2 linked regions of the Canis lupus familiaris genome follow. The protein of the gene in region 1 purifies or fractionates together with the protein of each later gene. This does not show direct contact. Links are inferred from orthologs where the notes say so. Each region holds a gene or a part of one and is shown on either strand. Other genes may lie near its edges.

Region 1 (3,620 bases):
AAGAGAAGGTTCATCCCCTCCTCCCACCAAGACAACATAGTTTGGGGAAAGGCCCCGGGAGAGGGGGGGAATGGCAGGGGACAAAGGAACTTGTGGGACCGAGGCAGGCAGCCTGCTTTGGGCGGTAGGATGTCACACCATGCCCATGGCATGGGAAGGGGACAGTGCCATGAGCAGCTCACCCAGGAGCCCTGCAATTTCATAGGCCTTCTTCTGCTCAATAGTCTCATAGTTGAGGACTTCAAAGAAAATGTCCAGCACCAGGATGTTCTCCCTGCAAAGGGGTTGGGGGAGGAGACCTGGGTTCAAGTCACATCTCTGTCCCTCACTGACCAGGTGACCTTAGCAAGTTACCCTCTCTGAATCTGTCTCCATACCCATAAAATGAGATGTTGATGGGGGTATCCTCAGTGTAGAACTGTCATGAGGATTAAATGTGATGGCAAAAATGAAAAGATGCTCTGCACACTGGCAAGCATGGGGTTGTTCCCAGTTACAGCAGTGAGGATGAAGATACAGAATGATGCAAGGAGGAAAGAGAGGTGCTTCCATTGTTTGTTCCAGCTTGATCTGCCCCCCATGCCCATCCCAGACACTTTGGTTGCCTTCCCCTTTTCATCTCAATCTCCTCCTGTCTACCGGCCCCTCAAAGCCCACTCACACCCTCTATAGTCCCAGCCCAAGGGCCCTGCCCTGCACAGCCAGAGCCCTTACCCTATGTACTGCTCAGACTTGTTGAACTTCTTGGCCAGGTACTTGGCTGACGCTTTGCTGGGGATCTTGACCATGGACAGCTCCTTGCCATAGCGGGTCAGGTTGCAGGGCATTTCACACACACAGTACTCCTGGTCCTTCTCCACCAGGAAGTCTGTGCCCGACCAGGCGAGAGGCACCAGTTGAGTGGTGCCCTTCGGCCAGCTCCTTCCCAACACGAACATCCTGGCCCTGTCCGAAGGAAACCTAGGCCCCTTTCTCTTTTTCTGACCTGTTCTTACCCGAGCCCTGTGTCTGCCCTGTGCTGATCCTCACCCAGCCTCCCCATGGGTATTTCTTAGTCCTATATCTCATTTGGGCCCTCGAGGGTCAACTAGCTGAGGTGCTAATGAGAGAGGGTAAGGGCATGGGGGCCTCTAGAGATATTATTCCCAGCCTTGCTTAAGTCAGACACAAGAGATTCCAAGCGAAGCCTGATCCGGGAGTTGTTGGAAGCTTCTGGGAGCTTGGCCTAAAACCCCTATGCATGTGGCTCCTTCCTTCCCCCAGACTGCCCCAAGACAGGGGTGCTCACCCAGAGCAGGATCCGCACACTCCTTGTACTGTTCTGGAGTGCAGTATGGGGCATCCCCTAACAGAGGAGAAAAGACAGTGGTGCAGGATGGAGATTAAAGGGGTCTCGTGGTGATGATGGTGGTGGTACCAAGCGCCTAGAAACTGGAAGATGGGAGTGGGTGGGAAGGCAGGACTAGCCAGCCCCCAGTATGTCCTGAAGGTGACCACACACCACCCACCCCACAGTCCATCCCTCCTGGACCCCTTCCCACACATTTTTATGGGTTCAGGTGGGAATTGAGGTTAGAGGGACAAGAGCCATGTGAGTATGGAATGGGGCTAGAACTGGGGTGCAGAAAAGCCATTTAATCTTGCTTCCATGTTGGCAGAAGGTTGATGGGGAGCTGGTGAGGGGCAATGCAGGCTGAGGGGCTCCAAGATTGTGTTTGGAGCTTTGGGGCCTGACCTGGCATATGCACCATGCGGCAGTTACAGTTCTCCACCAGGTAGCGTGTCTCACAGTCGATGCGGCAGGCAGTAATGCTGTAGGAGTCGAAGAAATCCGAGTCCATGGTAACAGCTTTGCAGGTGCCCCAGGGCGGGGGCAGGTAGATGAGCTGCTGGGAGAGCCGGGGAGCTGGGGGGTGTGGGGACTTCTCCCCGAGTCACCTTGATGGACTTCTCTGACAAGACGCAGAACTCAGGAGCCTTGCTCCCTGTCCCTCCACAGACTCTGAGGGTCTCAGAGTTTGCAGAGCACTCCTGTTCATTCATGCTTCTCACTAGTCAGATCAGCCCCCAGGCCCTAGCTCACCTGTCCCTCCTGTATTGATTACCCACCACTCCGTCTCGACCCCTCAATACACACCCCCTGGGACCACCCTCCCGTGGCCCTCTCACCCGCTGCTCCTGGCAGGACACAAAGGTCTGGAACCCTGGGGCCACACCAAAGCCCAGCTGGTCGATGAAGGGAGGTTCATCCTGACTGTGGATCTGCACTTTGATGCCCGCTTCGAAGGACGTCTCATCTATGGGAATGAGGAGCAGGGGGTGTATTGGGAGGGCTTCTGACTCCCTAACCTTATTCAGAGCTGGGGCCATGCTGCCTTTCCTAGGGGTGAGCACAGTGCACACTGGGACTGGGGGAGGGGTTAGTCTCTGGGGGGTCCTAGCCCATTCCCAGCCTCCTTTTGGGTTCACTAGCTCCACACTGCCCTGATGAACACCACATCCTACATGCGTTTCTTACCGGGCTCTGGGTATGCATCTTGCGGTTTCAAATTCTTTCCCAGACACTCTCTATTTCTCCCCCTCCCTGTCTCCCTTCTTCCTATCTCTCTCAGCCCCAAGGTCCCTCGAGACCAGACTGACGGCAGGCAGCCCAAGAAGAGAGGGAGTTATTTATAGAGTGAGTGGCGGCCACTGATGGAAAGCGACGGCTGGTTACCTTGGAGAGTAACTGAGCCAGGAAGGGGGAGCCAGGGAACTGTGAGGGTGGCAGTCAGGTAGAGTCGGAGATGGAGATGGCAAGATGCTGGGAGGAAGGGAGGAGGGCCAAGTCCTGTCTCAGGTCCCACAATGGATCTCAGGAGTCCCCTGGTGGAGGCTGATGGCTAGGGCCATGGGAAGGGGCCCCTGAGAGAAGTGACATACCAGTCTCTCCCCATACAGGCAGGTACTCATCCTGCTGGATGTCCAGCATGATCTCCAGCCCATTGCCAGTCCCACCCTTCATGGTCTTCAGCCGTGGACGCCCATCTCGGCCCGAGTTGAATGTATAGCACTTTCCATATCGTGTGAAGACCTGGTGAGGGCAGAGTGGAGAGCCTGAGAGTCCTGCCAGCACCCTCTACCTACCAAGGGCTGTTCCCAGACCCCTCAGCTGCTGTAATCTCAACACACTTCTGGAACGATCCCTTCTGTGCAGCACTTTCTCCATTTGTCCTCCTTCCCACCCATTCTCTGCCTTGCTTTGCCCTGATGTGCGCCCTAGAAAGCTGATCCCTGTGGGGTGCACTGCCCGTGCTCCTTTGCCACTTGGACAGGCTTCGGGGTGGGTGTGGCCAATGGGAGCTTATCAGAGAGGGATCAGAGAGCAGAAGGAGGGGAGATCAGGGTTTTCATCCTTCCCCACCCCTCACGCCTCTGAGAATGCTCTGGCAGTAGTTTAGACCCATTGAGACTGCAGATCCCACCAGGAGGCCTCCCTGCAAAGTCCTGCCACTTCCCTGTGCCCCTCTAGCCTTTATGTGACAATTTTCCCACTATCACGAAGTGCCTCAGGCCCCTTCAGGCAGTTTCCTTTACTCTGCCCACAGCTCTATAAACAGTCCCTTTGTTCAAGTCTTTTC
Region 2 (3,649 bases), on another chromosome or scaffold:
AGGAATTCTTCGGAAGAAAGCCTCTTAAGACATACTTTTCCTGATTATGAGAGTAATACATATCCATAAAAATTCAAATAATAGCACATTTAAGCATGGTGGGAGCCTCTTGGAATCTGTCTCCCAAAGATGCAGCGCCTAGGAAGCCCTGGTCACCTTCTGCCCCTGCTAGGTCCTGGGTCTCTTGTCTGATGGGGGCTCCTCTTGGGTGGCACTGGGGCCGCGGCTAAGCCCTCAACCCTGGGCCCCAGTGGGGCTGTGGGAACAGTGAGGACCTCTGGGTGGGGGTGGAGGCCATGTCCTGGGGGCCCTTGTGGTCCTGCCATGTGCCTCCATCCCCCTACAGTTGGCTCTCTCCTACAGGAATGACGGAACACACCAAGAACCTCCTCCGGGCCTTTTACGAACTGTCACAGACACACCGGGGTAAGGGTGCCCCCAAACCTGTGTGACCCTGGGAAGACCGTCGCTCCCTTCTGAGCTCAGGGCTGCCCCAGGCAGTTAGGGTGTGGCCAATCTCCTCCCAGGGCCCTTCCTCACCAGGCTCAGGCAGACACCACAGCATTTGACCTCATGCCAGGTTCGGGCCGGGCCTTGTCCAGATGCTGGGAGGTGGGGCCAGCAGGGAACATCTGGACCAGCTGGTGTGTGGGGTCCAGTGTAACCCGTTCTGCCCCTTACAACGTGGAGAGGCTTCCTTATTTGTGGTCTCATTTTCTACGAGTCTGCCGGCTGGGCCAGGCAGCTAGAGTTAACCCCACTTTGCAGTGGGGAAAATGATCCCAGACCGAGGAAATGTGCACACCACTCCTGCCGGCAGCGCTGGCCTTAGACCCAGCCTCCACATCCCTGTGCTCTGCTGCCAGGCAACAGCAGCCTCTCCAACCTTGACCCAGCCTTCTTCTTCCCCCGTGGTCTGATCACTCTGGGGAATGAGGGCCGCTCTCTTGGGTGTAGACCCGGCTCTCTTGGGTGTAGACCCACCTCCTTGGGGACAGAGACTTCATACAGGCCTTCACCTTCGGCCTGCTATGCCCCTTGCCCCACTTCTCCCCAGCAAATCCCCGGCTTCTCCATGAAGGGGTCAGGTAGGGACAGTCTTCAGGGCAGACTTATCCTGCAGCCTTTGGGGACGTGTTCTCTGTGATTGGGGTGCGGGAGCCCCAGCCAGCCGCGAGTGAGGCTTTTGTGAAGTTTGCTGACGCCCACCGCAGCATCGAGAAGTTCGGCATCCGGCTGCTGAAAACCATCAAGCCGGTAGGTGGTGTTGGGCATGTGTGCATCAGCATGTGAGGGTAGAGAGGGGACAGTGTGGCATACAGAAAGTGTCCTGTACTGGAGTCAGAAAATGTAAGTGCAGGTTCTAGCGTGGTCACCTGCACGACTGACTGTGGTAAGTCACTCTGCCTCCCTGGCCTCACTCAGCATTGACCCCCAGGCTGGTTTCTTCTGCCCCTGGCTCCATCTTAGTTACAGTTTACCCTTGGCCCAGCCTGTCTTCTCACCCTTGAATGGACCGACTTGTCTGTCACTCTTTGGCTTTGACACCTGAGTCCAGTAGAAGGATTGATGGGTCAGTGCCGTTCTTTGTCACGCCAGCCAGCCCAGCCCCTGCCCCCTGGGACTAGGTGTCTGCCTCCACTTTCCCTTCCAGATGCTGACAGACCTGAATACGTACCTCAACAAAGCCATCCCAGACACTCGCCTCACCATCAAGAAGTACCTGGATGTGAAGTTTGAGTACCTGGTGAGTGGTCGCCAGCCCCCAGGGAGGGGTGAGTCTGGGTGAGTGGTCCCCGGCCCTCAGGGAGGGGTGAGTCTGGGTGAGTGGTCCCCAGCCCCCGGGGAGGGATGAGTCTGGGTGAGTGGTCCTCAGCCCCCAGGGAGGGATGAGTCTGAGTGAGTGGTCCCCAGCCCTCAGGGATGGATGAATCTGGGTGAGTGGTCCCCAGCCCCTAGGGAGGGATGAGTCTGAGTAAGTGGTTCCCAGCCCTCAGGGACGGATGAATCTGGGTGAGTGGTCCCCAGCCCCCAGGGAGGGATGAATCTGGGTGAGTGGTCCCCAGCCCCCGGGGAGGGATGAGTCTGGGTGAGTGGTCCTCAGCCCCCAGGGAGGGATGAGTCTGAGTGAGTGGTCCCCAGCCCTCAGGGATGGATGAATCTGGGTGAGTGGTCCCCAGCCCCCAGGGAGGGATGAGTCTGAGTGAGTGGTTCCCAGCCCTTAGGGACGGATGAATCTGGGTGAGTGGTCCCCAGCCCCCAGGGAGGGATGAATCTGGGTGAGTGGTCCCCAGCCCCCAGGGAGGGATGAGTCTGAGTGAGTGGTCCCCAGCCCGTAGGGAGGGATGAATCTGGGTGAGTGGTCCCTAGCCCCCGGGGATGGATGAGTCTGGGTGAGTGGTCCCCAGCCCCCAGGGAGGGATGAGTCTGGGTGAGTGGTCCCTAGCCCCCAGGGACGGATGAGTCTGGGTGAGTGGTCCCCAGCCCTGGGGGCGGGGGGAGTCTGGGTGAGTGGTCCCCAGCCCCCGGGGAGGGATGAGTCTGGTGAGTGGTCCCCAGCCCTCAGGGAGGGGTGAGTCGGGGTGAGTCTGGGTCAGTGGTCCCCAGGAGGGATGAATCTGGCATGCTAGAGAGAGAACTCACCTAGAGATTAGCCACAGGATGGTAGGCAGGAAGGGACCAGAACCTTTGTCATGTCTGATTGAGGACATGAGCCCAGGGACCTGGGAGGAACTGGGAATTGGACAGCAGCCCAGACCCTGCCCACTCAGGGAGCCTTTGGGTGCCCAGGGTAGGCAGAGTGCTTACTCTGGGCCACTCTGACCCCTTGAGATTATTTGGTCACTTTTATAGTGGGTTATAAAGTGGGTGCCAAGGGACATGATCAAGTTGGGTTTTTGTTTTGTTTTTTAAGATTTTATGTATTTATTTAGAGAGTATGTAAGTAGGAAGAGGGGCTGAGGGAGAGAATCTCAAGTAGACTCCACGCTGAGTGTGGAGCCTGATGCGGGACTGAGCTCATGAACCTGAGATCATGACCTGAGCTGAAATCAAGAGTCAGACACCCAACGGACTGAGCCACCAGGGTCTCCTGGACATTATTGAGTTTTATGTTTAAGTAAAAATTCTGATGGTCAAAGATGTTGAGGGAAGATGCTCCACCAAGCAAGCTGAGGCTCCTTTGCTGTAGGACTTCCCAAAGCCTTTGGCATCCCTGTGTGCACCATAAATCCTCAACGACCTTCCCATGCTCTTTTGACCATGGAATCCCTTTTTCCCCAGACCATCTCTCCTAACTTGAGTTTGGGAAATGCTGGGCTGTTTCTTAGGCCCTTGCCACCCTCCCACATGAGAGGCAAGTGTCAGCCTATCCTAGTTGAGGGCATGCAGGGCCCAGGAGGCCTGGCATGGCTGCGGGGTACTATGTGGGGTGGAAGTGTGGCATCAGGGTGGGCATCCAGGAGGTGGAGCCCCTCTGACACCGTGACCTCGCCGTCCCATACAGTCCTACTGCCTGAAGGTGAAGGAAATGGATGACGAGGAGTACAGCTGCATCGTGAGTTTTCAGTGGTGATTGGGGGGTGGCCCCGGTGCTGGAAGGTCTTGGAGTGTATGGACCTTCCCCTGCTTGTCTCACAGCGGCCCAAGA

Evidence for each region. The genes of interacting proteins can lie anywhere in the genome.
Region 2: the proteins of ASIC1 (region 1) and PICK1 purify together in Homo sapiens (affinity purification with western blotting; 3 studies listed by BioGRID and IntAct, with this or other methods). This does not show direct contact. The link is inferred for Canis lupus familiaris from reciprocal best matches to the Homo sapiens genes ASIC1 and PICK1.

Annotation. Positions count from the first base shown.
Region 1 is NC_049248.1:42,007,882-42,011,501, reverse strand, and holds part of ASIC1 (acid-sensing ion channel 1), read right to left. Parts: intron 3,074-3,620; coding exon 2,923-3,073; intron 2,298-2,922; coding exon 2,170-2,297; intron 1,887-2,169; coding exon 1,736-1,886; intron 1,346-1,735; coding exon 1,289-1,345; intron 869-1,288; coding exon 715-868; intron 275-714; coding exon 183-274; intron 1-182. UniProt on the Homo sapiens protein: Forms voltage-independent, pH-gated trimeric sodium channels that act as postsynaptic excitatory receptors in the nervous system, playing a crucial role in regulating synaptic plasticity, learning, and memory.
Region 2 is NC_049231.1:27,597,717-27,601,365, reverse strand, and holds part of PICK1 (PRKCA-binding protein), read left to right. Parts: intron 1-363; coding exon 364-426; intron 427-1,123; coding exon 1,124-1,257; intron 1,258-1,654; coding exon 1,655-1,747; intron 1,748-3,505; coding exon 3,506-3,556; intron 3,557-3,649. UniProt on the Homo sapiens protein: Probable adapter protein that bind to and organize the subcellular localization of a variety of membrane proteins containing some PDZ recognition sequence.